7 linked regions of the Rattus norvegicus genome follow. The protein of the gene in region 1 interacts with the protein of each later gene in a pairwise test. Links are inferred from orthologs where the notes say so. Each region holds a gene or a part of one and is shown on either strand. Other genes may lie near its edges.

Evidence for each region.
Region 2: the proteins of Creb3 (region 1) and Cybc1 interact in a two-hybrid assay, tested with the Homo sapiens proteins (2 studies listed by BioGRID and IntAct). The two-hybrid records come from large-scale screens. The link is inferred for Rattus norvegicus from reciprocal best matches to the Homo sapiens genes CREB3 and CYBC1.
Region 3: the proteins of Creb3 (region 1) and Tspan4 interact in a two-hybrid assay, tested with the Homo sapiens proteins (2 studies listed by BioGRID and IntAct). The two-hybrid records come from large-scale screens. The link is inferred for Rattus norvegicus from reciprocal best matches to the Homo sapiens genes CREB3 and TSPAN4.
Region 4: the proteins of Creb3 (region 1) and Cds2 interact in a two-hybrid assay, tested with the Homo sapiens proteins (2 studies listed by BioGRID and IntAct). The two-hybrid records come from large-scale screens. The link is inferred for Rattus norvegicus from reciprocal best matches to the Homo sapiens genes CREB3 and CDS2.
Region 5: the proteins of Creb3 (region 1) and Syngr1 interact in binary tests that used the Homo sapiens proteins (3 or more experiments, as listed by UniProt). The two-hybrid records come from large-scale screens. The link is inferred for Rattus norvegicus from reciprocal best matches to the Homo sapiens genes CREB3 and SYNGR1.
Region 6: the proteins of Creb3 (region 1) and Unc50 interact in a two-hybrid assay, tested with the Homo sapiens proteins (2 studies listed by BioGRID and IntAct). The two-hybrid records come from large-scale screens. The link is inferred for Rattus norvegicus from reciprocal best matches to the Homo sapiens genes CREB3 and UNC50.
Region 7: the proteins of Creb3 (region 1) and Nkg7 interact in a two-hybrid assay, tested with the Homo sapiens proteins (2 studies listed by BioGRID and IntAct). The two-hybrid records come from large-scale screens. The link is inferred for Rattus norvegicus from reciprocal best matches to the Homo sapiens genes CREB3 and NKG7.

The regions. Positions count from the first base shown.
Region 1 is NC_086023.1:62,612,240-62,616,451, reverse strand, and holds the start of Creb3 (cyclic AMP-responsive element-binding protein 3), read right to left. Parts: upstream 2,801-4,212; 5' UTR 2,644-2,800; coding exon 2,467-2,643; intron 2,382-2,466; coding exon 2,225-2,381; intron 2,151-2,224; coding exon 2,080-2,150; intron 1,975-2,079; coding exon 1,885-1,974; intron 1-1,884. UniProt on the Homo sapiens protein: Endoplasmic reticulum (ER)-bound sequence-specific transcription factor that directly binds DNA and activates transcription. Plays a role in the unfolded protein response (UPR), promoting cell survival versus ER stress-induced apoptotic cell death.
Region 2 is NC_086028.1:106,996,522-106,998,681, forward strand, and holds the end of Cybc1 (cytochrome b-245 chaperone 1), read right to left. Parts: coding exon 2,053-2,160; 3' UTR 501-2,052; downstream 1-500. Other genes in the region: Hexd (hexosaminidase D), read left to right, coding at 132-339. UniProt on the Homo sapiens protein: Functions as a chaperone necessary for a stable expression of the CYBA and CYBB subunits of the cytochrome b-245 heterodimer. Controls the phagocyte respiratory burst and is essential for innate immunity.
Region 3 is NC_086019.1:206,018,731-206,021,882, reverse strand, and holds the end of Tspan4 (tetraspanin-4), read right to left. Parts: intron 2,861-3,152; coding exon 2,786-2,860; intron 2,052-2,785; coding exon 1,950-2,051; exon of another isoform or gene 1,927-1,949; intron 1,850-1,926; coding exon 1,718-1,849; intron 1,645-1,717; coding exon 1,561-1,644; intron 997-1,560; coding exon 928-996; 3' UTR 501-927; downstream 1-500. UniProt on the Homo sapiens protein: Structural component of specialized membrane microdomains known as tetraspanin-enriched microdomains (TERMs), which act as platforms for receptor clustering and signaling.
Region 4 is NC_086021.1:140,002,370-140,005,869, reverse strand, and holds part of Cds2 (phosphatidate cytidylyltransferase 2), read right to left. Parts: coding exon 3,432-3,500; intron 399-3,431; coding exon 279-398; intron 1-278. UniProt on the Homo sapiens protein: Catalyzes the conversion of phosphatidic acid (PA) to CDP-diacylglycerol (CDP-DAG), an essential intermediate in the synthesis of phosphatidylglycerol, cardiolipin and phosphatidylinositol.
Region 5 is NC_086025.1:113,515,070-113,519,065, reverse strand, and holds the start of Syngr1 (synaptogyrin-1), read right to left. Parts: upstream 2,801-3,996; 5' UTR 2,750-2,800; coding exon 2,651-2,749; intron 1-2,650. UniProt on the Homo sapiens protein: May play a role in regulated exocytosis. Modulates the localization of synaptophysin/SYP into synaptic-like microvesicles and may therefore play a role in synaptic-like microvesicle formation and/or maturation.
Region 6 is NC_086027.1:47,159,435-47,163,617, reverse strand, and holds the start of Unc50 (protein unc-50 homolog), read right to left. Parts: upstream 2,801-4,183; 5' UTR 2,578-2,800; intron 1,774-2,577; 5' UTR 1,770-1,773; coding exon 1,490-1,769; intron 416-1,489; coding exon 295-415; intron 1-294. Other genes in the region: Coa5 (uncharacterized protein LOC503252), read left to right, coding at 3,035-3,133. UniProt on the Homo sapiens protein: Involved in the cell surface expression of neuronal nicotinic receptors. Binds RNA.
Region 7 is NC_086019.1:102,980,002-102,983,064, reverse strand, and holds Nkg7 (protein NKG7), read right to left. Parts: upstream 1,569-3,063; 5' UTR 1,425-1,568; coding exon 1,268-1,424; intron 1,192-1,267; coding exon 1,045-1,191; intron 962-1,044; coding exon 827-961; intron 716-826; coding exon 657-715; 3' UTR 501-656; downstream 1-500. Other genes in the region: Lim2 (lens fiber membrane intrinsic protein), read right to left, coding at 2,984-3,045.

The sequences.
Region 1 (4,212 bases):
GGTGTGTTGGATGGCAGCTAACCTTCCCAATGAAATTCTCTCCACAGCTTTTCTGCCAATAGGCATTCACCTTCTGTGTGGACATCTCCACAGGACACGTGTCCAGCACTTAAAAGCCAGAGTTTTCTTATTTTTATGTGTATAGGTGTTTTGCCTGCATGTCTGTATAATGTATATGTATAATGTGTGTGCCTGGTGCCCACACAGGCTAGAGGACAATGACAGATCTCCTGGGACTGAAGTTACAGATAATTGTGAGCTGCCATGTGGGTGCTGGGACTGGAACTCACGCCCCACGGAAGAGCAGAAAGTGCTCTAAACCACTAAGCCATCTTTACAGCTGCCAATTAATTTAAAAAGTTCCTCCTAAGCTAGGTGTGGTTGTACATGCCTGTAATATCGGCACTTGGGAGGAAGAGGAAGGAGGTCAGGATTTCAAGACCATCCTTGGTTAGGGTAGTTTTCAGGACAGACTGAGTGAACTACAGAAGACTATGTCTCAGAACTAACAACTACCACCATCCTTATCCTAAACCCACATCAATCTTCTAGTTTCCACCCATTGGATTTTCCTAGGCTCTCTAGAATGATATAGAACATCTTTATCTTAAGTACTTTAAACTCTTTTTTTTTCAGAAATTAAAACTGAATAAAGTTAACTCTCATAGTCTCTGATAATGCTTGTCAAACCTGGACAGTAGCCAGGAGTGATGTCATACACTTGTAATCTGGTCCTAGGAAGCTAGAAGCAGGAGAACCAGGAATTCAAAGGCATTCTTTACCTACGACACAGTGTGAGGCCAGCCCAGCCTGGGCTTACAAGACCCTGCCTTACAAACCAGGGCTGGAGGGCGTAGCCAGTGGTAGAGCACTTGGTGAGTATTCCAGAGGTGCTATATTCCAATCCCAGGGGTAGGAGAATTATGGTATGCTTTGGCCAGTGTAAAGGAGGACAAGACAGTTACTGTCCTAGGGACGGAGCCACTATTGATAATTCCAAAACTCCATTTTCTTTCCTATTAACTACTATACTGCTCATTCATCTCGTAATGGCAGGAGAGGGATAGGAGAGGGTTTATCATGTGGGCCAGGCTTGCTTAAACTCAACATGAAGCGAAGTCTGGCCTTTAACTCCTGATCCACCTGTCCCAAATAAGTCAGTACATACATAACAAAAGAAGTAAGACAATAAAAGGGGCACAAAAACTAGATGCAGTATGCTTTCACTTGGGAAGTGACCTTGAGCGTGGGAGGACCTTCCTGCCTCTGCCTCTAGGGTTATGGCAGTGTGAGCCCCTCAAGTCCAGCTTTGTTACAACTTTGTTACAGCTTTGTAACAACTATTGTTGTTAGACTGCTTCAGCCTCTCCAGCATATCTACTCTACCACTGAGCAAAAGGCGAAGTCCCAAGATAGCAACGAAATCTGTCAAGGCCATCATTTGAAGGCCCTTTCAAGGCTCTGTTCTAAAGTTACTCTACATTTAAAAAATTATCTTGGGGCTGGGGATTTAGCTCAGTGGTAGAGTGCTTACCTAGGAAGCGCAAGGCCCTGGGTTCGGTCCCCAGCTCCGAAAAAAAGAACAAAAAAAAAAAATTATCTTTTGTACATGGGGGTCTCTCCTTCCATCACGTGGGTCCTGGGAGTTAAGCAAGGCCTTTTCCTACAAAGCCATACACTGATAATTTTGAAAGGAACGCCAAAATGTATATCAGCGCCACAAGACCAGGATCTACCCTGGTATCTGCTCGTCCCAGGTTCCCACTATCAGCTTCCATTCTGACCTCAGTCCTTTTGTAAGTGATCGATATGAAATAAACTGAGTTTGCCTACTTGGGTTATACAATCCCCCTCCAGCTTTTGCTCTACTACCAGAAGCCTTACCTTAGTGAGAGGAAGTGTTGAGGGCAGAGTGAGCCCCTCCTTCTCCAAAAGCCTTTTCTCTTCCTCCGTCAGTATCAGTGTAGAAAGTTCCTAAGGTTGGAGGAAGAGAGCAGAGTTGCATGGTGATGTCAGAGCAGTATGGGGGATTCTTGGCCGCTGCAAAGTGAGGTAATCCTGAAACACCAAGCCCAGTACCTGCTCTGCTGCTGTCTCCTCCACACGCAATGGATTCATGCGGAACCCCTCCTTTTCAAAGCTCCCAGGATCTGCAAAAGCGAAAGTAGGGCTAGCAAGTTCAGTGAGCTCTCTCTTTCCCCATAACTTAACATTTCACACTCACCTAGATCTATGGAGACGTGCTCCTGTGGAAGGGAATAGTTGTGATCATGGAGAATAGAAGAACTAGAAGAGTTGAGAACATCCGGCGATGACGAGGGACTGAGCAGAGAGCTCAGTAAATCCTCTACCTCCCAGTCGCTCAATTCTTGCACGGAGTTCTAACAAAATCAAAGGCCTTGTTTTATCTCTGTACCTTGGGTCTCAGGGACATCGCTAGCTTCCCCACTCAGAACACCCACCCACCTCGGAAGGCGACAGCTCCAAGTCCAGGGGAGTCTCTATGTCCTGCTCAGTCGCAGCCCACAAATCTCCACTTTCCTCTAGCAGGAAGCCCAGCAGGTCCTGATCACCAGGATCCAAAGCTAGCAGGTCCTGATCACCAGGATCCAAAGCTAGCAGGTCCTGACCACCAGGATCCATTTGGAATATTTATGGATAGAAACTCCTCTGCGCAGATCCAATCTCCGAACCTTAGGCACGACCCCTCAGTCTGTCAAGTCGCATCGACTTAACCTTAGTCACTCCCGGACCAGGGCCTAGCTGTTACTCTATATGCCACACCCGCCTCTCAGCTTCTATTCCCCTCAGCGTCCAACATAACGGAAGTGATGCACATAGTCCCGTGGAATCCTGGGACTTGGAGTTCCCTCCAACTCGGAAGTGGCTTGTGTAGTGCGCCACGTCCCAGGGGCTATGCAAATTATGGGGATGTCCCTTCAGCTTCCCACGCCCCAGGGCGGGGATTCTGAGGATCCGGATCCGCCTTCGCCGCGAGCTATTAAAAAAACCCTAAGAGTCTAAAAGGGAACTCCCGTTTAGTTCGGGCGTTCTCTCCAGTGCTCTGCACCCTCGCTTCCTGCCGGGGAGGGGCGGCCAGGCTTCGCGGGAGCCCGAGCATCGAGAGCTGCGGCCAGAGCAGCTTCCTGCAGTCTCTGCGACCATAGAGCGGACCGCCGGCGGGTGGGGGACGTTTCCAGGACGGAAGTGGACGAGAGTGTGTCGAAGGGAGGGCGAGGCCGGAGCCCCAAAGCGACCGGGAGAACGAGCGGGTAGCGGGCCCAGGGCGGGGCGCAGAGCTGGGCAGCGCAGGTAGGCCGGACGGGCTGGGCTGAGGTTCTAGGTGGGGCTGCGGGATCAGGCCGGCCCGGGAAGCGGCGGGCGGGGCCCCCAATCCTCTTGCATATCCTGTGTCCGGTTGGGGAGGTCAGGGTACAGTACGTTTCAGTTTAGGTTTGAAATTAAGCCAGCCGTGTTGCGAGAGACAGGCCCTTTTCGCGGGAGTAGACAGTTCTCTGTCTCGGATAGTTTTTGGGACGGGTAGAAATGGGGTGGCAGTGAGGCATTGGGCGGGGATGGGCTTTGGTGTTAGCCGATAGTGAGTATGTGGTTAGGAAAACTTTGGGTGAGTTTGAGTTAGGTGCGTCGGGTTTAGGAAGCAAGGATCCCATTAGAAGTTAAGAAGCTGGACTACATTTTAAACATGCATGAGTCAAGTCTCTTTCGTGTTTGTGACATTTAAACTGAGGTCATTATTTTCTGGAATGACCAGCATAAGTCAGTGTACAGGATCGGGTTAAGGATCAACAACAGGAATTGGCTTAGAAGCTCGTTTCAGGGATTAAAGGCCATTGTCATGGTCAGTATTAAGAATAAACAGTGAGAAGGTGAATTAAGAATCAAGGTAGAAATGAGCTTTAGGACTGGGGAGAGGGGCAGTATTTAGGGTTAAAGTTAGGGGATTTGGGCCTAAAAATAAAAGCCAGATTAGTATGGTTGTGTGCTAGGAAAGGGGTAAGTGTCAAAATATAGGGAATTAGGATACAAAATAAAGTCAGGATTAATGTTAGGAATTAGTGATAGCATCAGAGTCAAGGCTGCAGCTACAGCTGAACAGGTAAAATGTAAGAAGTTGGGCAGCAAGTAGCTGCCTTTGTTTTGTAGTGAGCTCTCTTATTCCTGTGTGATCACAGAGGCTCCTTTTATCCAAAG
Region 2 (2,160 bases), on another chromosome or scaffold:
TTTGTCCCAATGTTCAACGGAGGCATGGAATGGCACTGGCTCTGGGGACTGAGCATATGGGTGCAGCTATGTAAACTTGAGCCTTAGCGGAAACACTGCTAAAGCAAATCATGGATGCTGTCTCCCCCCAGCCTTCTAAGCAGGTGGAACAACCTCGTGCAGCAGCTGGAGGCAGCCCTGCAGCCGGTCTTCTACCCGGACGCCATTGAAGAGTGGCTGGAGGAGAATGTGCTCCCCAGTATGCAGCGACTGCAGGGTCTGCTGCAGGACCTGGGTGAGGCGGCCGCCCAACAGCCACCACCCACCAGCCCGGGCTGGGACACAGGCCAGAACCCCTGAGGGGCCAGGGCCCTGTATATGACTTTGGACAACACCAAGATTTCTCTCAGTGGCCCAGCCAGGCGGGGCCTGTGCTCCTCCTGCGGAGCCCTACGTAGACAGGTTCTCCAGCTGTATGAACAGTAACCTTGGGTGAAGCAGAAAACAGAAAGGCACATTTGTAATTTGCACGTAGAGCTTTATTACTTCTGAAATAAAAAGACCAGGAAGTGGAAGTCCCACCAACAGAAACTTGGATCAACTTTTTACCACCATAGAGAATTTCATGCCTTCACCAAGGAATGAGTCTCAGCACTGGGCAATATTGGAAGGGGATATGACAGCACCTAAGAGACAGACTCCTCCTTCTCTTGTCTAAAGTACCTTAAGAGTCTGTGGGCAACAAGCCAAAAACCAACAAGCTATATTTCACATTTCATCTGGGGAGAAAAATCTCTAACTTAACCATTTAGAAAGCTCACTTTAGCATGTTCAAGGGACCATGTTCCCAAGTTGGGACTAGTAGCAGTCACCTCAGAAGACCTGTTCATAGTTCTTGCCTAACTACTGTGCTCAGCCTAGGGGCAGTAGCCTCAGGGCTGCCTTAACTTCTTTGTCTATGTAACTCTTCTATTTCCCAGGTCTACCTGATGAGGTATGGGTATACGGCTTGGAGGAGCTCTGTGTAGACCAGAGATCCACAGCTTCTAGCTGGAAACTTAGTAAACAGTGTACTTTTGAGGGACTTGAGTCGACTCAGAAGGAAACTAGAAGAGCAGAAAAGGACCGTAAGTGGTTGGTACCAACTTTATTAGAAGAGGCCATGGCCCAGGCTGGCCTTGAACTTTCTTCCCGCCCCACTTCTGAACACTGGGATTGACAGGGCTGTGTCTCCACATGCCTATTTTCTTCAGGTCTTTTCAAGGCTTGAAAGGCTAAGACTCAGTTTCTGTAAAGGAGCTCCCAGGTCTTAAAGACAGCAGGATGCCAAAAACCAAAAGAGGTGACCTTTCCTCCAGTAGCAGCTTCTTCCCTGGTTGGGTTGGGAGAGCCTTCCATTCCTGCTGTGCTACAACAGTGCTGGGATCTCAGACAAAGTTGTCTGAGAAGGAACAGGGTAGTCAGCAACACTCTGATTTCTCTGAGAGTTCTGTGGCCAGGCATTCAGCATCCATAGTTGCCTTCAGGGAAGCTCCTGACCACCAAGGGTGTCCATCTTGAGGGATGGTCAGGGAGAGTAAACATCAGTGTTTACAGGAGTGGGTCCTTCCTACCTGCGTGTGGGTGTCTCACTCTCACTATGAAGTGGAGTCTTGCCTACAATATCCTGGGGTGGCAAGGCATCTTGAAGGCAGGCACTAGGCTTATGCTGAAGAAAGCTTGGCATCTTATACTTCAGACTGCCCTTGGGCGAGCTTATGCAGACCCGGCTGTGCTGCCCAACCCAGAGCGGCCACGGGGAAGGCACTAACTTCTGAGACCTCGCCCTCCCCTGGATGTAGCATCCACCCCCTGCATCCTGACAGATGCAGCCTTTCTGGGTTGTGGGAGAGGCCTAGCCCATGGTTCTGCAAAGTGTAGAAGCGTAAACAAGCAAAAGGCGGGTAGTCTGTAGTAGGACTGCCCAAGGAGCCATAGGCGGGTGTCCAAGGTCTGCCTGTACCCTTATAATTGGCAAGTCAGTCGGAGACGCATCGGAAGTGGGTGACATTCACCAGCAGCCATTCCACACTGTCAGCTCTGGCCACCAGGGCCATCAGGTTCACTGTCACTGCTTTGTGACCGTTCTGAGGGGCTCTCCAGGCGGTGCAGCTCCAAGAAGCTAGTGATGAGTTTGGCAAT
Region 3 (3,152 bases), on another chromosome or scaffold:
ATGAGTCACAAGGATGACCCCTAATGAGAACTGTGTCACAGAGTAGGCCCCTCAGACAGCAGGATATGGGGACTGAGAGTCAGGTGCCTCACAGCTCCTGGGAGCTCATCTTAACCTGAATCCCCATCCCCAGAGTACCATCCCTGTAGTCAAAGGCCCTCACCTACGGCTCTTCTTTATCCCCTAGTTTGATGTCTTGATAGTGGCTTGATGCTCTATATGACTCTAACTCTGGTCAGTGGCAAGGGCTCTGTGTTTCCTAGTGTTGCAATCTGCAGTCTCTCCAGACTAATCCAGAGGCAGAGGTACTAGGAGAGAAATACAAGAGTAACTGAGGTAGCCTAGAAGAAATGAGAGTGAAGAGGCCACACCTTTCCCCAACTAAAACAGGTTAGCAGTGCTCCCCTGAGCTCTGAACTCTCCTGACCCTTGGAAAATGAAAGAACTTCCTCAATTGGAGGCTGTGGCTATACAACCTTTGTGTGCCAGCTAGACCCAGGGACTGCTCACACACTTTATTAAGATGCATCTGGATCCACGACACTGTCATGGAATGTGGATCATGGGACCTGCCTGGAGCACCAAGATCATCGTGGGCCTTGAGCAGACTGGGCCTGCCCCCAACCTGGCATCCATGCAAGGCTGGGGACCCCATCCTGTGTGAACACTAGAAGAAATATATGGATATAAAAGTGTCAAAAGTTCCCCAGGCCCTTAGCCCTGGGTGCCATTTGGCACCAACCCTAATCTGGTGTCTCTGCTGCCACCCAAGCAGAGTCCCTCAGGTGCAGGGATGGGTCCTGGATGCTGTGGCCTCAAGCTCTTCTCCTTGCATTCAGCGGAGCACCAAGTCCTGCATGGGAAGTGGGTTTGACATCTCCTCATGGGCAGGTCCTTTGGCAGAGAAGCAGAGGCCGTGACAGAGACCTATGCACAGTAGGTGTCCGCCTTTACCACCTGGCAGTACATGGTCATAGCGAAGGTGAGGCCCAGAATCTGTGGAGACAAGAGGTCATAGGCCTTTGCCCATAGGCAGAAGGGCTGGTCTTCATTGGTGCCCTGACTCTTGCAAGCCGTCCCCAGGGTAAGTTGCGTTCTGCACATTAGGTCACACCCCTCTGCACGCCTGGTCTAAGCCCTCTGCCTATCCCACTGTACCTACTTGTCCTAGCCGTAGCCAACCGAGTATCTGTTTGCCAGGTGGGTTGTAGGCGCTCCACTTAGCCTGGAGCACCACTCTGCTAACCCTCAGCACTGCTATAGATGGCTGTGAACCTAGGAGGAAAGAGCGGGGCCTGGAGGCAGCAAGGTATCAAGTGCCACCCTCATTCTGCACAGGAGGTCCTGTCACTACCAACCAATATGGCTGCCTGGCTGTGTTGACCCACTAGGTGACAACGGGCTCTGCACAGGGAGTACTGCATACCAAAGGTCACCTCCCCCAGTGAACATTGTCTTCTTACAGTCTGCACTGCTACCTGCCTACCCAGGTCACAGGCTCCTGAGCAAGTCCTCTGCCATTGCAGTCAGGAGTCCCAGGCACTGCCCTGCTCAGCTCACCTGCACCAGTGCTGTGCACAGTCCAAAGATGCCCACAGCTAGCAGGTTCTCCTGGAGCCAGGCCTTCACTGTCTCATAACAGGGCTGCAAGAGAGCCAGGATCAGCTGGGGGAACCCCACCCCTGCAACCACCCACCACAAGAGGGAATACTCTTACCGACTTCCACCAGGTACCAGGTTCATGTAACCCGCAGCTGTCACTGAACTCCAGACAGCAGGAGTCAGGCACACGAGTGGCATTGTATACCTCAAACCAATCAGTGTAATTGGAAACTCCACAGCATCGGAACTAGAAGCAGGAAGAAAGCAAAGGACTGGGTGGCGAGATAGCCACAACACCCACCCCCGCCAGCCTGTCCGCCATACCAAGAAGGCTGCCCAAGCCTCACATCAGTCTGGATGATGCTCCAGGCATTGGTGAGGCCCACATTGCCCTCTGTGCCATACAGATGCAGGCCCTTCTTCAGATCTTGCTGGGCATAACTGTCAATCTGTTAACAGACCACCAGTTAATATCCTCCACTTCAGTCCAAGACAGGACAATACCCCAAACCCCCTCTATCTGAACCTCTTGCTTGTTTCCTGGGATTACCCCCTACCCTAGTACCCTATCACACTTAGGACACAGCCCAGGCTCATGTTCTCCCAGAGGCTTCAAGGACCCTGGTGCAAGCCTTTGCTGCCTCATCTCTATAGGCTCCCCCTGTTGGCTAGGGGAGGACTTCAGTCTTCTTGGTAGTACCGACAGACATGTCTGCTCTCTAGCTGAGGGTATGGCTCCACTCCTAAGTCTCCAGTAAAGGAACTAGGGCACTGAAGGGCAACTCCGGCTTGTACAGGGAGCTTCCTATAGTCCAAGGGTACTTTACAGAAAGGAGGTCCTATGGGGAAGTTGGGGACACAGGAGCTAGCAATACAGCATGATCTATAACCCAAGATCCTAAAATATCTGAGTAAATCCTTCCAGTTGTGTGACCAGGCAGACAGATATGGGAAGTCACATATGACACACAGTAAGCAGCAGTGGGGGTTGGGGTTGTTGGGACAGTCCACACTTAGCAACCTGTACTTAGTAGAGGACCCTGGCCACATATCCTAGGAATTAAGAGTGCTGTTGTCCCACCCATACAACCAGAGCCACAACGTAGATCCCTGGGCTTGTGGTACTTTCTGCACCGAGTCTCCCAGCACCCCATGTACTGTCTGTCCATTTGCAGCAACATACCTTGTCACTGTAGGCAAAGAAGAGCACAGCAATGGTGGCTTCCAGCAGGAACACTAGCAGCAGCAGCACAAAGAACTGTAGAGAACGTGCCTCTTACTCACAGCCCTGCTCCTGGAGTGCCCCAGAACTCCTACCATCACGGAACTCAAGAGCCAGGCCAGACCATCCCGGAGCCTGAATAGCCTGCTGGCCTGATCTGAACATACCCACATGCGTGTACGTCCCCGTTCCCCAGGCTCCTGGCGTGACATCTCTATTTGGGACTCTCCACACCCCCATACTGTTAGACAAGTGGGATATATGTTAGACAAGTACTCTACAGCTGAGCACCACGCCCACTCACAACCTGGGAATTTAAAAGAGATCC
Region 4 (3,500 bases), on another chromosome or scaffold:
AGGGCAAGACTGTGCTCAGCAACAACCGAATTCCAGACTAATGGATCCACCCGATGACCAAACCCTGCTGGGTCCAGAAGGCGATGGACAGAGGCATGCGGTCAAATGCTCAGGCGATCACAGGGCACAACTAACAAACTAAATTCAGCATGAGGGTCAAGAGGAACATACATTGAGTGCCAGGGGGCATGACCTGGTATGAGGGGTGAATGTTGATGGAGCGGGGCAGGGAAGAGATGGGCGACCAGAAGGGAGGGGCAGCGGGGAAGTTTCCCTACTTTGATTTTAAAGGCCCGCTTGAATCCACTTGCGAAGAACCCTCCAAATGGGCCAATGAGCGAGGCGAAGGTGGAGAGCGCAATGCTGTGGATCTGGAAAGGGTACATCCTCATGGTTTTCTGAGGAGAGTGAGCGAAACCAAAGTCAACAAGTGTGCACATCTGGCTTCTCAGTTAATTAAGAACTTGATAAAACAAGGTCTCTATTTTCTTCAGTCAACCAAAAGACTGCAGGGCTGGAAGACGGTCTGCTGGTCAGGAGCACCTGCTGTTCCAGCACAGAACCTGGGTTGTTCTAATGCACATGGTGGCTTTTTACCATCTAGCGCTCTATTTCAAGGAGATGTGATGCCCTCTTCTGGCCTTCACTGGTACTGCAGGCAAACACAAAAGCACGCACCCAAAGCATTCATACATCTAAAGGGAATGAGTCTTTTTTCTTTTTTTTTTTTTTTAAAGATGTATTTACTTATTCTTTAGAAGTACAGTGTAGCTGTCTTAAGACACACCAGAAGAGGGCATCAGATCTCATTACAGATGGTTGTGAGCCACCATGTGGTTGCTGGGATTTGAACTCAGGACCTCTGAAAGAGCAGTAAGTACTCTTAAATGCTAAGTCATTTCTCCAGCCCAGGAATGAGTCTTTAAAACAAAAGAAAAAAGAAAAAAGAAACAAAAAGAGAGAGACAAACAAAGAAAGAAAGAAAATTGGCCCACGCTTTTAAATCTCTAACGTTTGGCCTAATAGTAGACCATCATGATATTCTGTCTGGAGTGGTGGCATGTGCCTGTAATCCCAGCATTTGGAAGGTAGGAGCAGGAGGATCAGAAGTTCAAGGGAACCCCCAGCTACAGGGAGAATGTAAGGTCAGCCTAAACTGCATAAGAGCCTGTCACAAACAAAGGAGAAACTCTGGAATTAGCTTCTTATGAAGAGAACCCAGCCTTAGCTTCCCAGAGAATATGACAGCAAAAGGATGAGTGTTTAGCAGTCTTCTCTGAGGATTGTGGGTATTTCACACGAACCTAACAGGCACAACTCTGTAACGGTGAGGTGTAAGGTGGGAAGGTTCTCATTAGTCCTACAGCAGGACTGGAGTTCAGATCCCCAGAATCCATGTAAATGGCGAAAGTGCATGGCAGCCACCTGTAATTCCAGACCATGAAGAGGATCCCAGAGCAAGCTTATCTCAAGAACCTGCCTCACCAGGATAAGGCAAAGGAGCAACTGAGAAAGATTCCTGCCATCAACCTTGGGCCTCCACGCTTATGTAGGTATATATGTAAATATGCACACATTCATTCATACATGCATGCACACACACATATAAACATGCACACAGACACACATACATACATATATGCACACACACAGACAGATAGACACACACACATACACACACAAACATGCACACAGACAGACACACACATGCATACATACATATATGCACACAGACAGACAGACAGACAGACAGACAGACAGACACACACACACACACACACACACACACACACACACAAAGAGAAAAGAAATAGCTACAAGCCAGGGGGTGTCCCAGCACTCAGGAGAAGGCAGAAAGATTCCAAGTTCATTGTGAGATCCTCACCATCACCGCCCCCCAAAGAAGCAGGTACAATGTTGAAGCTGAAATCTTCCTAATGGATGTTTTGTGCTTCCTCACAAAACCCATTGGTCTACAATGCACTGTGGGTCCATCTTTTATCCAGACATGACTATGGACCATACCCCGGTCATCTAAGAAATACCAGCTCACTGCTGGACACTTGGTTATGTGGTGTCAGAACAGCTTCTAAGTGCCAGAAACCCATCATGCTCGCAATGATAGGTGCATGCTTTCAAACTTCTCATTTCACCTGAAATGCAGATTTTTATCACTGGTAACAACTGCTATCAGTCACTTCTGTTTAAGCAATAGACTTACGTCATTCTTCTTAAGAAAACTATGTTACACAACCAAATCTTCAAACAGAAACCCTACCCTGAGAGCTGAGCAGCCAGCTGAGCTCACAACTTAAAACAACAGGACATGCCTTCTCTTTGGGACACTCTGTGCCTCAGTATTTGGCAGAAATACTTTCTGTGTATTTTCCATTTCAGTACAGAGAATATTAAAACGGTGTCAAGGATCAGGAATATGTTAATGAAGTTACTAATTTTAGAGTCCCATCGAGGGCACTCACCAGAGTATAACTAGCTTGTGTGCACCTGCAGAGTGAGTAGCATAAAGCAAGCAATGACCTGTTCCAGGGCTGCTGCAGCGCTAACCCCACCCACTGTGCTGCAGCGCTAACCCCACCCACTGTGCTGCAGCGCTAACCCCACCCACTGTGCTGCAGCGCTAACCCCACCCACTGTGCTGCAGCGCTAACCCCACCCACTGTGCTGCAGCGCTAACCCCACCCACTGTGCTGCAGCGCTAACCCCACCCACTGTGCTGCAGCGCTAACCCCACCCACTGTGCTGCAGCGCTAACCCCACCCCCTGTGCTGCAGCGCTAACCCCACCCCCTGTGCTGCAGCGCTAACCCCACCCCCTGTGCTGCAGCGCTAACCCCACCCACTGTGCTGCAGCGCTAACCCCACCCCCTGTGCTGCAGCGCTAACCCCACCCACTGTGCTGCAGCGCTAACCCCACCCACTGTGCTGCAGCGCTAACCCCACCCACTGTGCTGCAGCGCTAACCCCACCCACTGTGCTGCAGCGCTAATCCTACCCACTGTGCTGCAGCGTTAACCCCACCCACTGTGCTGCAGCGCTAATCCTACCCACTGTGCTGCAGCGCTAACCCCACCCACTGTGCTGCAGCGCTAACCCCACCCACTGTGCTGCAGCGTTAACCCCACCCACTGTGCTGCAGCGCTAACCCTACCCACTGTGCTGCAGCTCTAACCCTATCCACTGCCACTAGCTTCACAACCACCAACTCAGTGTCATTAAGAAAATGTCAGCCCAGGGAAAGAGGTGCATACTATTCAGTAAGCAGGATCCTCTAGGAGTCCACACGATAACTGACATGAGGTTAGGAAAGGTCTCCTCCACCCTTACCCTGGCATAAGGCGCAGGGCCCTAGCGAGGAGCTACTATCTCTGGAGGAAACTCCTCTGTGCTATCACTCGTGTAAAGGGCACGTACCCAGCCAACGAGCGACTGGATCACCCCGGGAATGTTGTACTCCTGCAGGCGGAACAGGTCAGATGGCTC
Region 5 (3,996 bases), on another chromosome or scaffold:
TGAGCAAACCTGAGCAAACCAGTCACCTTAGACCCAGAGCCCAGGCTCTCTTAGCTCCGTGGGAAAGTATGGGGCTACCAGACTCCACAGTAGATGCAAAAACCTGAGGACGAAGAGAAGGCATGGGACCCACTCCAGAATACGTTAAGATGTCTATACAGCACAGACTATTCAAAAATATGGAACAGAAACAACACAGCACAACATGAAATTTCCCATTCCCCCCTCCGCCCCCCTCGTTCATTCTTTCTCATCCCACCGTCCACTCCCACCAGAGCTGACGATAGAGACCAGGACCTTACACTTGCCATACCCCCAGGCCCCTCTTCACCCGAAGTGTGTACTTCAATGGTATTATCAACCCCATGTTGCTGTCCAGTAATAAGCAGGTATTACTTTAATAATCAGAAAGGGGGCAAAATTCTTTATCTTCCTTTAAGGCAGTCACAGGTAGCCCAGGCTGGCTCCAGTTTGCTATGTAACTGAGGCTAGCCTTGAACTCTGAGCCATCTGTCTCTACCTCCTAAGTACTGAGATTACAGGCATACACCACTGCTCAAAACCTGTTTTGGTTTGGTGTGGTTTTGGTTTTTGTTTTTGTTTTTTGTTTTTTTGTTTTGTTTTGTTTTTGTTTTTGCTTTTTTGAAACAAAGTTTCTCTGTGTAGCCCTGGCTGTCCCAGAACTCACTCTGTAGACCAGGCTGGCCTTGAACTCCGAGATCCACCTGCCTAAAGCATCCCAGGTGTAGGCATGAGCCACCACTGCCCAGGACCAAAGCTTTTTTAAATCTAGGTTTTAAAAAACATTTTTTTCTCTAGCTTATAGAACATCCCATTGCTAAAACTTTAAAGCGACTGGGGTCCAGGTGTGTGAGCAGAGCTGGGAGGTCTGGAAGGGCTTTGGGCTGGGGCTGAACTTGATAACTTTACAGCCTTTCCAATCTGGAGACTACAGAATTTGCCATCCCCCTGCAGCAGAAGCCCAGTCCTCTGGTGGCAGGAAGACTTGAATTCCAAGGCTCGTCTGCCGTTCCCAAGATCAGTGAGTGGGTGCTAGACCTAGTTAATTTTTCCTCCTCCTGGCGGGCATGTCCTCCTTTTACCTGGACCTAAAGTGTAAGCCCTCTCTGTGTCACTAGAATCAACATGACATCACCTCCATGAAGCACAGCAATTCCACAGCGAAGACCCCTGTCCTGGCTCCCTCCCTAGTAGGACTGTGGGTTCCCTGAGCGTCAGGGCCGAGCCTGAGTCATGCTGCCTTCCCTTCCCTCCGGGCCAGGCAGACTCAATAAAGCTTCACTAAATGAAGCCATCAACAGTAGAAATGACCCAAGCATAAGGAACGCCCACGCCCCTCACAAAGCTTGAGTTTCTACCTCCCAGCCAGGGGCCCCAGAGAGGTCAGAGGAAGCAGTACGAGGTCAACCCACCTGACCAGGCAGGTGCCTCCAGGGTTCCCACTTTACCTAGAGCCTGCAAGGGCTTCTTCTGCAAGCTGGGGAGGGCCAAGAATAAATAAATTCGGTGTCACAAACCCTCACGGATATATATAGGCTGCACGGCCATAAGGAGTTACAGAAACAGGGCTCCCCACAAGGAGGAAATTTAAAGGATTCCTAAGACCAGAATAAATCTCAAGCCATCCCGCCCATCAGATCCTGATATGGCCCTGAAAACCAGGAAAGGAGTGCACTTCAGCAAGCCCAGGTCACAGCTGACTTCGGTTACTAACCCCTAGGGGTCCCTGACCCTTGTCACCAATGCAGGCTCTTCTGGTCTTAGTCAGGAATGGACCCCAGACCTGCATAGGCAAGACCCTCCACGAAGCCAGCCAACCCCAGAGGGCACCAGAGCTACAGGCCTCCTTACCCTAGGGCGCAAAGCCCCCTGTGCCACCCTTCAAGCTGTTTCTGCCCCCTCCTCCGCCCCAGGTTTGAGCTGAGCCCCATTCAGCACTGGGGAACCTGCACGGACTAGGTGGGCTAAAGACTGCGAACAGACAGACCTTCCTGTTCCCCACTGCGTGGAAGGGACCTTTCTCCAGACAACATTTAGAATCTATTCAGGTGTTTGCTGAGGATGAGAGAGTTGCGGATTCATAAAATGTCAGAGCCCAAAGGGGCCTCAAGGAAGCTCCTCCCACCCCTATAAATCGAGAAACTGAGGCATGACATAAGAGGTGACGCTCCCCACCCAGCTTGGAACTGAATATCTCGTATCCCTGGTCTTTTTTGGGGTGGTTCCGTGCCCAAGGTCACGCGGCAAAGCAGATACGGGTCTCGGCGGAACCCAAGTATCCAGGCTCCAGACTCAGAGCTCCGCAGCGTACAGGGTGAGCAACAAAACCTAGTTCCCAGTCCTCGCCCCGAAAGCGCGCGGCAGGTGCAGCAGTGCGCCCTAGAAAAAGATCCACGCCCTGATCCGCGCCCCCAATAAACGGCCTTGAACTTGGGCTCAGTCTCCACGGGCGCACGCGAACCGAGTCGCTAGATGCTGGGCAGCGACAACCTGGAGGTCTCGGCGATGGGGCTAAGGAGCTCGGTGGCAGGGGCCAGGATCCGCTTGGGTCCGCAGGGCCGCCCGGGCCAGGTGAGGTCGCGCCAGTTCCCGGAGCCCCGCGCCCCAGCCCGCCTTGCTGTGTCCTTACCCAAGACACGACGCGCAGGATGGTATGTGGCTGTCGCACCAGGGTGTAGGGGTCGAAGGCGCCCCCGGCTTTGCCCGCTCCGTACGCACCCCCTTCCATCGTGGCTGCACCGCGCGGCGCCCCCCGCTCGGCGCGCGCCACCGGCCCGTGCGCGTGCGCGGCGCCCCCGCCCCCCTCCCCTGCGCTCGGCTTGTGCAGTCCGGGGCTCCCCGCCAGGGGGCGATCGTGCACCGCCCGTGCAGCTCTCCGAAGCTCGCGCTCAGAAAGCGCGTGCAGCTGGGGTCCCAGTGTGGGGCGCGCTCCCTGCCAGCGGGATGACCTTTTTGCCAAATAACGCGTAGTCGGGGTGTGGACGGAGAATGCAGACGCATCTCCGCCTTCGGGAGCCCTCCGGACTGTAGCGCTATTCAGGAAACCCTTATCGTTATATATTTATTTATTTACTCATTTATTTGCCTCTTCTCTTTCGCTGTCTGCCCCAAAATTAAGGAAAGGGGCTCCGTTTGACTGTATATGGCTCCTTGAACCCGTCGCTGAATTGCTGGCTTCAGGAATGATTCTCTCTAAGAGATCTGCAGAGCCTCCTCGCCCCCCCCCACCTTGCTGCCTAGCTCCACCGATGACGTCATGCACGCGCACCCCCACCTGGAGGGAGCTGTAGGGAGGCAAAAACTGGGAGAAAAACAGACCTTGTGAGATTCTCTCCCCCTTCCACCGCAGCTCCCTACCCCTTTCTTTAATCCAGTAATTAATTGTACTTATTTCTTCCACTGTCTCCTCGGTCTGTGGGCTCCTGCTGTTCAGGTTTTGTTTATATCCAAAGGCCTCACAAACATAGGTGGTCAATAAATACACCCAAGCCTCACCCTCCCACCAACCCCAACACAGTTTGACCTTTAGGGCTCCTGGGGGTTTTTGTTTGTTTGTTTTTATTTGTTGTTTTTGTTTTGTTTTGTTTTTGAGATAGGGTCTCTTGTAGAGACTGGCCTCTGGAATTCACCCTGTGGAAGGGGATGGTTTTGAACTTCTTTCTATTCCTCCTGCTTCTTCATCCCTGTGAATGGAGTTTCAGGCCTGTGTTACCATACCCATGAGAAATCTTAGAGGCGGCTATTAAACTATGATCCTATAAAACTTCTAGAAGAAAACAAGAGAAAAATCTTTATAACTTTGTAGATAGGATGATTTTTTCATTTTTTTTAATTTATTTTATTTATATGAGTACATTGTAGCTGTCTTCAGACACACCAGAAGAGGGCATCCAATCCCATTACAGATGGTAGCGAGCCACCATGTGGTTGCTGGGAATTGAACTTAGGACCTCTGGAAGAGCAGTCAGTGCTCTT
Region 6 (4,183 bases), on another chromosome or scaffold:
AAATGGTACCCATGACAAATGTAGTGACAAAGCTAACCAGACGCAAATGGAATCATATATATTAGAAAATCAGAATTTAGCAGGGTATAACCGTTTTGGGATTTGCTACAATGACAGTAAGCACGGATTATTTTCTGACCTAGTACAGACACAGGAGCCGAGTTACAATAATCCTGGCAGTCAATCCAGTCACTTCAGCTACTCTATGTTGGGTTCGATTTTTCACTAGCTGCTGTACTTCTGATGTAAACAAACGGGCTCGGCAGTATGTATGAACCCCCTTATGGTACTTACCACATTAAAGTTGATATGAGAAGGCCAACACCTACACAATCTATGAACACAACCCACAGGAGCAGCTTTATTGTCTCAAAAAATCCCATGTCCAGCACAAAGCCAAATCCTATGGTGGACACTGAAACAAAGAGTTACAAGATTCACTGCCAGGCTCTTGGGTACTAGGCAGTCCCTGGCACCCACACGCCCAGTGTAGCAGAGGTGGTACATAGTGACGAAAACCCTCACAAGGTACATGCAACTGATGTCGAAATAAATGCCACCTCTGAATGCAGGAAAGGAGCAGGGCTCAAGGACTGGTTCACCAGGACACAGGGGACTCAGAACACCTGTGTAGACGGCACTCAACTTAAAGTTCAGGTAAATGTGAAAGGTACCTACTATATACTTCAACACCCTCTAGTTGACTGGGACTGTTGCTGTACTCCAGTTGATGTCCTGGAGAACTTAAAGGTTCTTTTCAAATTCAATCAGTATTTTCAGAACCCTACTCTGAAAGCTGCGGGTGCAGCTCTGTGGTAGAGCACTTGCCTGGTCTATTCAAGCCACTGGTTTCTATTGCTGGTCCAACCAACCCGTGCCCCTCCTCCTGCCAAAAATCAAACAAGACAGACAACAACCTCCCAGCCTCACAGTTCCTGGGGCTGGGGATTTAGCTCAGTGGTAGAGCGCTTACCTAGATAGCGCAGGGCCCTGGGTTTGGTCCCCAGCTCCGAAAAAAAAGAACCATAAAAAAAAAAAAAAAAAAAAAAAGAAACATAGTTCCTATCCTAACATTTCTTGGCACGCAGTTGGGTTTGGGTTATATTAGTCTTTTTTTAAAGTCAGCCAATGTGGTAGAACATGCCTGCATTAAGAGGCCAAGTTAAGAGCATCCCAAGTGCCAGGTCAGCCTGACCCACCCATCTAGAAGCTGTCTCAAAAGAGAAGGAAAAACCCAACTATGGGATGAATCCCATCCCCTACTTTTGCACACCCCGGTACAGTAGTTTACTCTGGCGTGTGTCAAAGCCAGCACTAGGAAGAACACTTTCTTTCTTGCCAGCTTCTTAACGTTTTAGAAAAGACAAACCCCATAGCTTCACACACCCCAAGATTCTGACCCATTCTACATTATCACAGAAGATAAACTTTCATCCAAAACCCCAATTTGTTTTTCAACTATACTGATTGTAAATTGAGACACACTTACCACAGAGCCAGATACTTAGGAGGACCAAGAAGGCAGGGTCATCTCTGGCCCACTGATCCTTCGTTTGCTTCCGGTAGTGAAAGTTTCTATAAACCCTCTGAGGGGAGGTGAACAGGTAGAGCATCTGCCATGCCGCAAACTCAAAGTCCATCTGCCGAAAGCGAAAAAGCCTTCTGAGGTACTTGTAGCGTTTTGCTCCAGCTGTGTGTCTTGCTGCATCCCTGGAATTTAAAGCTCCATTCCCGTACATCGAAGAATTCAAAGAAGTACTTGGTAGCATCTTCCTAGATGGAATGAAAACATTTCTCTTAGATGCAATCTTAAATGTAATGCTTAGCTACTAACACTCCTCAGAGCTATGACATTTTCTCCTGTCACCTTCAGAAAGGATTAAGGACCAGCCAAGTGTTAAAACCATCAAGGCAGTATCATGCTCTCTTGCATCTCCTGAAACTACTTAACTCGAGTCCACGGTTTCCCAACCTTCATGTCAATCAAGCCTTTGGCAGCTGTAGTTGCTTACTACTGATAATGGAGGCCAAGATAAAAGCAATATAGGGATGTGTGATGACTGGAACACTGGTTCAAAAATTCCATGTTTTTAATGACCAAGATTTTTAAAACAAGAACAAAAAAGTCTAAGCTAAAAGTAGGGTCACTGAACAGGTAAGACACACAGCTGATTTGTACAAGTCCATCAGCGATGGCCAGCAAGCTCCTGGCTATTCAGAATGTGACATCAAAAACGAAGCAAACTCCATTCCTTGATGGTTTTACTCCTAGAATAGCCAGGTAGGAGGAATAACTGCGCGGGAGGGTCCAGTCCAACTAGTCCAAAGCTAAGTGACTGCTGGTCACCGCCCAGCCTACCAGCACACCGCGGCACTCCGCCCCGCCCCGCCCCGCCAGCAGGTCTCCATTACCCCAAGCCTCTGTCAACAAAAAATATAGACGGCTCAGTGACATTTCAGTTAAGAACAAGCGGTGACAAGGTGTGTGATTCCTGTGCAAAATTCTAGACCTCCTTAGAACTCTTAAAACGGCTCTAATCCTGCGATTCCAACGTAAACGGGCGTCTTTGGATTTACCCAGCAGCTTCACGGCGGGCCTAGGACTTGAGCTGCGGGGCGCTGGTTGGTCCTACCCCCAGCCGCTCAGATGCCAGGTTGCGAACTGACCGTGGAAACGGCCGTCGGCACGAACGCCACCCCGCGCACACAGAGCAGGCCGCACCTGAAGGCCCACGAGGCCTCGCCTTGGGACCAAGACTACCGCCACCTTAGCCGGGTACGGAGCCCAGTCGCCGCTGGGGCCACTTCCCTTGCCTCTACGTAGCCCGCACTTTTGCGGCGCTCTGTATTTACGTCACGTACACGCACTTCCGCCACGCACGCGCATACCCCGAAGAGTCACAATCCCGCCGGAAGTTGAGGATTTCTCCTACTCTCGCCTCTAGCTTGTCAGTGGGCGTAGCCCACGCCCTTTCGGGCGGTCCAGGGTGACCGAAGGCCGTGATCTGGTGTGGTGAGGGCGGTGGGCCCCGCCATGCCCCGGTATTATGAGGACAAGCCGGAGGGCGGCGCGTGTGCGGGCGTGAAGGAGGATCTGGGTGCATGTCTGCTGCAGTCGGCCTGTGTGCTCCAGGTAGCGAATCTGGGTGGTAGAGCTTAGCCGAGACTGGCTCCATGTTGGCCTGCCAGGGAGGTCATGTCGAGGGTAGAGGTCGCGCGTCCGCTCCTGACTTTGAACAGGTCTCTTGAGCTCTCATCCCCAGTTCTCACTGGTGTTAAATGGGAGATAACTTATTACCCACCTAAGGATTTTGTAAACATTCAGCTATCTCAGTTCAAGAAGCGATTCCCGAGTGCTGGCACTCACTTTTGGGCACTCTCCTCCAGAGACTCGCCTGCGCCTGCGCTGCATAGCTACTTGATCTGTGGTGGAGATTTTGGTTCCTTGGCTTCTGGAGTATGGAAATATCTTATGGTATCCCATAGTTTCTCTCTGCCGATCTTTAACCCATCTTAATCCTGCAGCATTGCATTCTGGGAGGAATTCAACATAAGCCTTTATACTATGTGCTGATACGGGAAACAGTCGAGGAACGATAGGGGCTCAGAGAAACTTAGGGTATGAACTTAGATGGTCATAATATATCTCCCAGTGGGAGATAGGAGAAAGGGGAGTGGGGAGAAGGTTTAGAACTAGGTTTCATGACTCTTGGGAAGCCAGAAAAGTTGAAACTCCAGAGGGAACTCAACAGGGTTTTCCCGTTACTGACCTTGATCCCAGAAGAGCCCACTGCCTCATCTTTCTAGCCCCTCCACCTTTAATAAGGTAAAGCATGTCAGTGAACCTGATTGACTAGACTAACCCGATCTGCCTGTCTCCACTACCCAGTTCTGGGATTAAAGGCTCCTGCCACCACCATGCCCCGTTCTTTGTGTGGGTGCTGAACCGGAGCTTTCATGCACAGCAAGAACTTTGCTTACTTAGCCATTTTTCCAGCGCTCCCCTCCCCCTTAACACTCAAACAGAGTTTAGTACCAACACTGAAAGGTCCTTATTTTAACGCATCCAATTCACAGTTCCCATCCATAGGAAGGCTTATACAAACATCAATGATTTGTTCTAAAAATCTTAGGTTCTGAGGCTGGAAAGATAGTTGGCTCAGTGGTTAAGCCAACTTACTCT
Region 7 (3,063 bases), on another chromosome or scaffold:
GCCTGTGACAAAGGCTGGTGGTTAAGAGAGCTTGGGTGTGGTGCATATCAATGTCCCCAGAGTGGACCCACAGAGAAGGGTGGTCATTTGGGGAAGAAAAGAGAAAGATAGAAATCAGGAGAAAGAAAGACACTAAAGACAAGAGGGAGATTATGTCCACACAGGGCAAAAATAAGCTGCAGGTAGGTAGGTCTGCATGGTTCTAACCCTCCTTGAGAGCTCAGGCTCACGTATGGTTGACTTAGGTGCTGGGGATGCAACTTGGACTTCATTCATGCTCAGCAAATCTCTACAACTGAGCCATAACCCAAGCTCTCTTTTTAGTTTTGCACCTTGAGGCAGGGTCTCACTCTGGTGCCCTAGTGCCTTAGCCAGCCTCGAACTCACTATGTTGCCCAGGCAGTCTTTGAAGTTGTGATGCTCCTTTCTCCAGCCACCTGAGTAACTGGGGTGAGAAGCCTGGCTAGGTCTAGGTCTTGGCTAAACTGATCTTGGAACAATTAGATCTCGGCATGCTTTTATTGAGTGTGTGAAGAAAGCAATTGAGGGATAAGGCAAGGTGGGAGGGACAGAAACAGAATTCTGCCTTCCTTTTATAGCTTCTGAGAGGACAAGGCTCCAAACATCCTGCTGACCCTGATGTCCTTGGCTTCTGTTCACAAGGTTTCGTACTCAGTCCGACGGGTTCTACAGTGAGCACCCAGGCTCAGGCAGCCTGGTGTGGAGACAGAGGGGGGGATGGGAGGTTAAGTACTTGAGTGCCCTGCACTTCCCTGCCCCAGCCCTCATCATGGTCCTCCCCCAGGGAAGAGGCTAGAGTAGTCACCTGCACAGAGGAAAGGGATGGCGGAGCCCCAGCCTAGGTAGAAGGACCAGGAGAAGAATGTCTGGACCTGGGGAGATGGAGGCTGGCTCCATCTCTCGCTGGTGTACACTGCCATGGCCACTATGATGGAGAGAGCTGGGGACAAGAACAAGAGACAGCTGAGCTGGTTTGTATTCACCAGCCCAGGTGTCCCAGTGCAGCCCAGATCCTATTCATACCTGCAGCAAAAGACAAGACAGTTGAGACCATAGGGCCACGGCCAGGAGCAGACAGGGATGGGATACAAGACAGAACCAGGAAGCTCACGGATACCAGGCCCCACAGGGCAGCCAGGATACAGCAGACCTGTGTCACGTGGATATAACCTAATGCGAGACGATGATTCTGGGTGTCCATTCCCACTAGCCATACCCACCGCCAAAGAGCCCATCGCCCCTTTACCTGCTACTTGAGTCCCTGGGCTTGTTGGCCAGAGGCCAGAGTGGGCAGAGAAGTTGGGGCCGGTGGCCACTATCCAGAAGTCAGTGCTCAGAGCAATCAGTGAAAAAATCAGGCCCAGACAGCCAGCAAGCAGGGCCAGGGACCGGTAGGGCTCCATGGACACAGCTCTGGGTTTCCACTTCTTAGGGGACAAAGACACAGATGACCCAGAGTGTTGGCTCTTAGAAAAAGGAAAAGGCCATGCACCTGGACTTCTAGTCCACTGGGCCAGAGAAACAGCCAGCAAGCAGTGACTTTGTCAGAGAATCCTCTGTAGCCTTAGGCCTGGTGTCTGGTCAGATTCTTCTCACACTCCCTTCCTGAGTGGCTTCCCTTCCCCTCTCGGATTGGCTCCTCTCCTGTGTGGTGGGGGAGGGCCCTGCTGAAGTCTTTACTTGCTGGCTGCTCTGGGGGTGTCTACCCTCGTGGTCTAGGTAGTGGTTTAGACTATTGTCACAGGTTCTCCACAGTTGGAGACAACTGATTTCCTGGAAGCTCTTAGGGAGGGACTTGGAGGGGGTGGGCAGAGGTGGGAGGTGGGCTAATCATACTAGGGTATGAATTAACTGAAAGGAGAGATGTGGCTGAGGAGACGGTTGTGTCACACTTTCCTGTGGTTTTTGCACTCCTAGACTCTAGCATTAGAGTTTACAACAGTAAAGGGGCAGTGGGGTCAAAACACCAGCCCCATAGGAAGAAGGACTTGAGTAAGTGTGAGCAGAGACTCCACATTCCTAGTCAAAGCTTCTGTTCAGGACAGACAGGATTCCAAAAGGCTTGAGGAGGAAAAGACCTTCCTACATTCTCATCTAACAGATATAGTGAGAAGTCACACCACCTCGGTTGGACCCTCCAGCATAGGTGTCTTAGCACCAAGATGAGGGTGAGAAGTGGAAGACAAAGTGTCACTTGGGGGCCTCTGCGTCATGTCCTCCAGTAGTGGGAAACACCTCAACAGGCAAGTGCAAAATGTTTCCACCATCTCTTGATGTGACAGCATAGGTCTGCCTCCCCAACACTCAGGAGGTCTGAGGCTGGAGGATAATGAGTTTAAGGATAGCTTGGGCTACATGAGACCCTGACTTTCCAAAAAATAGGTAAAATAAAATAGAGAGGGGATAGAGCTGTGTGTTGTCTCTAGTGAGGGGGCCTATCCAGGGATCAGAGGAGAGATAAATTGCCTGGAGCATAGGTGGGTGAAGAGCAGGTAAGCTTTGTTCATCCTATAATCCCACACATCCTTTTCTAGACATTAAACCATGGCTATCTCCTAGGTAAGGACCCATTTATCTTGTTCCCACCCCTGTATAACGGAGGGATGAGGCTACCATATCAGAACACACTGTTCCCCACCCCAGCCTGCTTTTCTCTAAATCAACCCTTAACGACTCACACTTTGATAGTTTCACATCAGTTTTATTAGATTCCCAAATCACTCTCTAAAGGAGTTTCTGTTTTCTACCACCCCTCAGTGCAGGTGGAGGCTTATGTCTTCGTCTCAGTTCCCTCCCACTTGACCCTACTTTTCCTCCCCACACAGGACAGAGGGGTCAGGGGCTAGAATACAGGACTGAGCCCCCTCATTCCCTCAGGAACCAGGACTTCCGGCCTCTAGGTCCTCCCCTTCCTCTTCAATGTCCTCGTTGTAACTTCCGGCTGCAAGTTTCGCCCCAGGGCTCAGCGTGGGGTGGATAGGCGCCGGCACTCATGCATCCGGTAGGCACACATGTAGAAAATTCCTGTGTGGACAGACATCT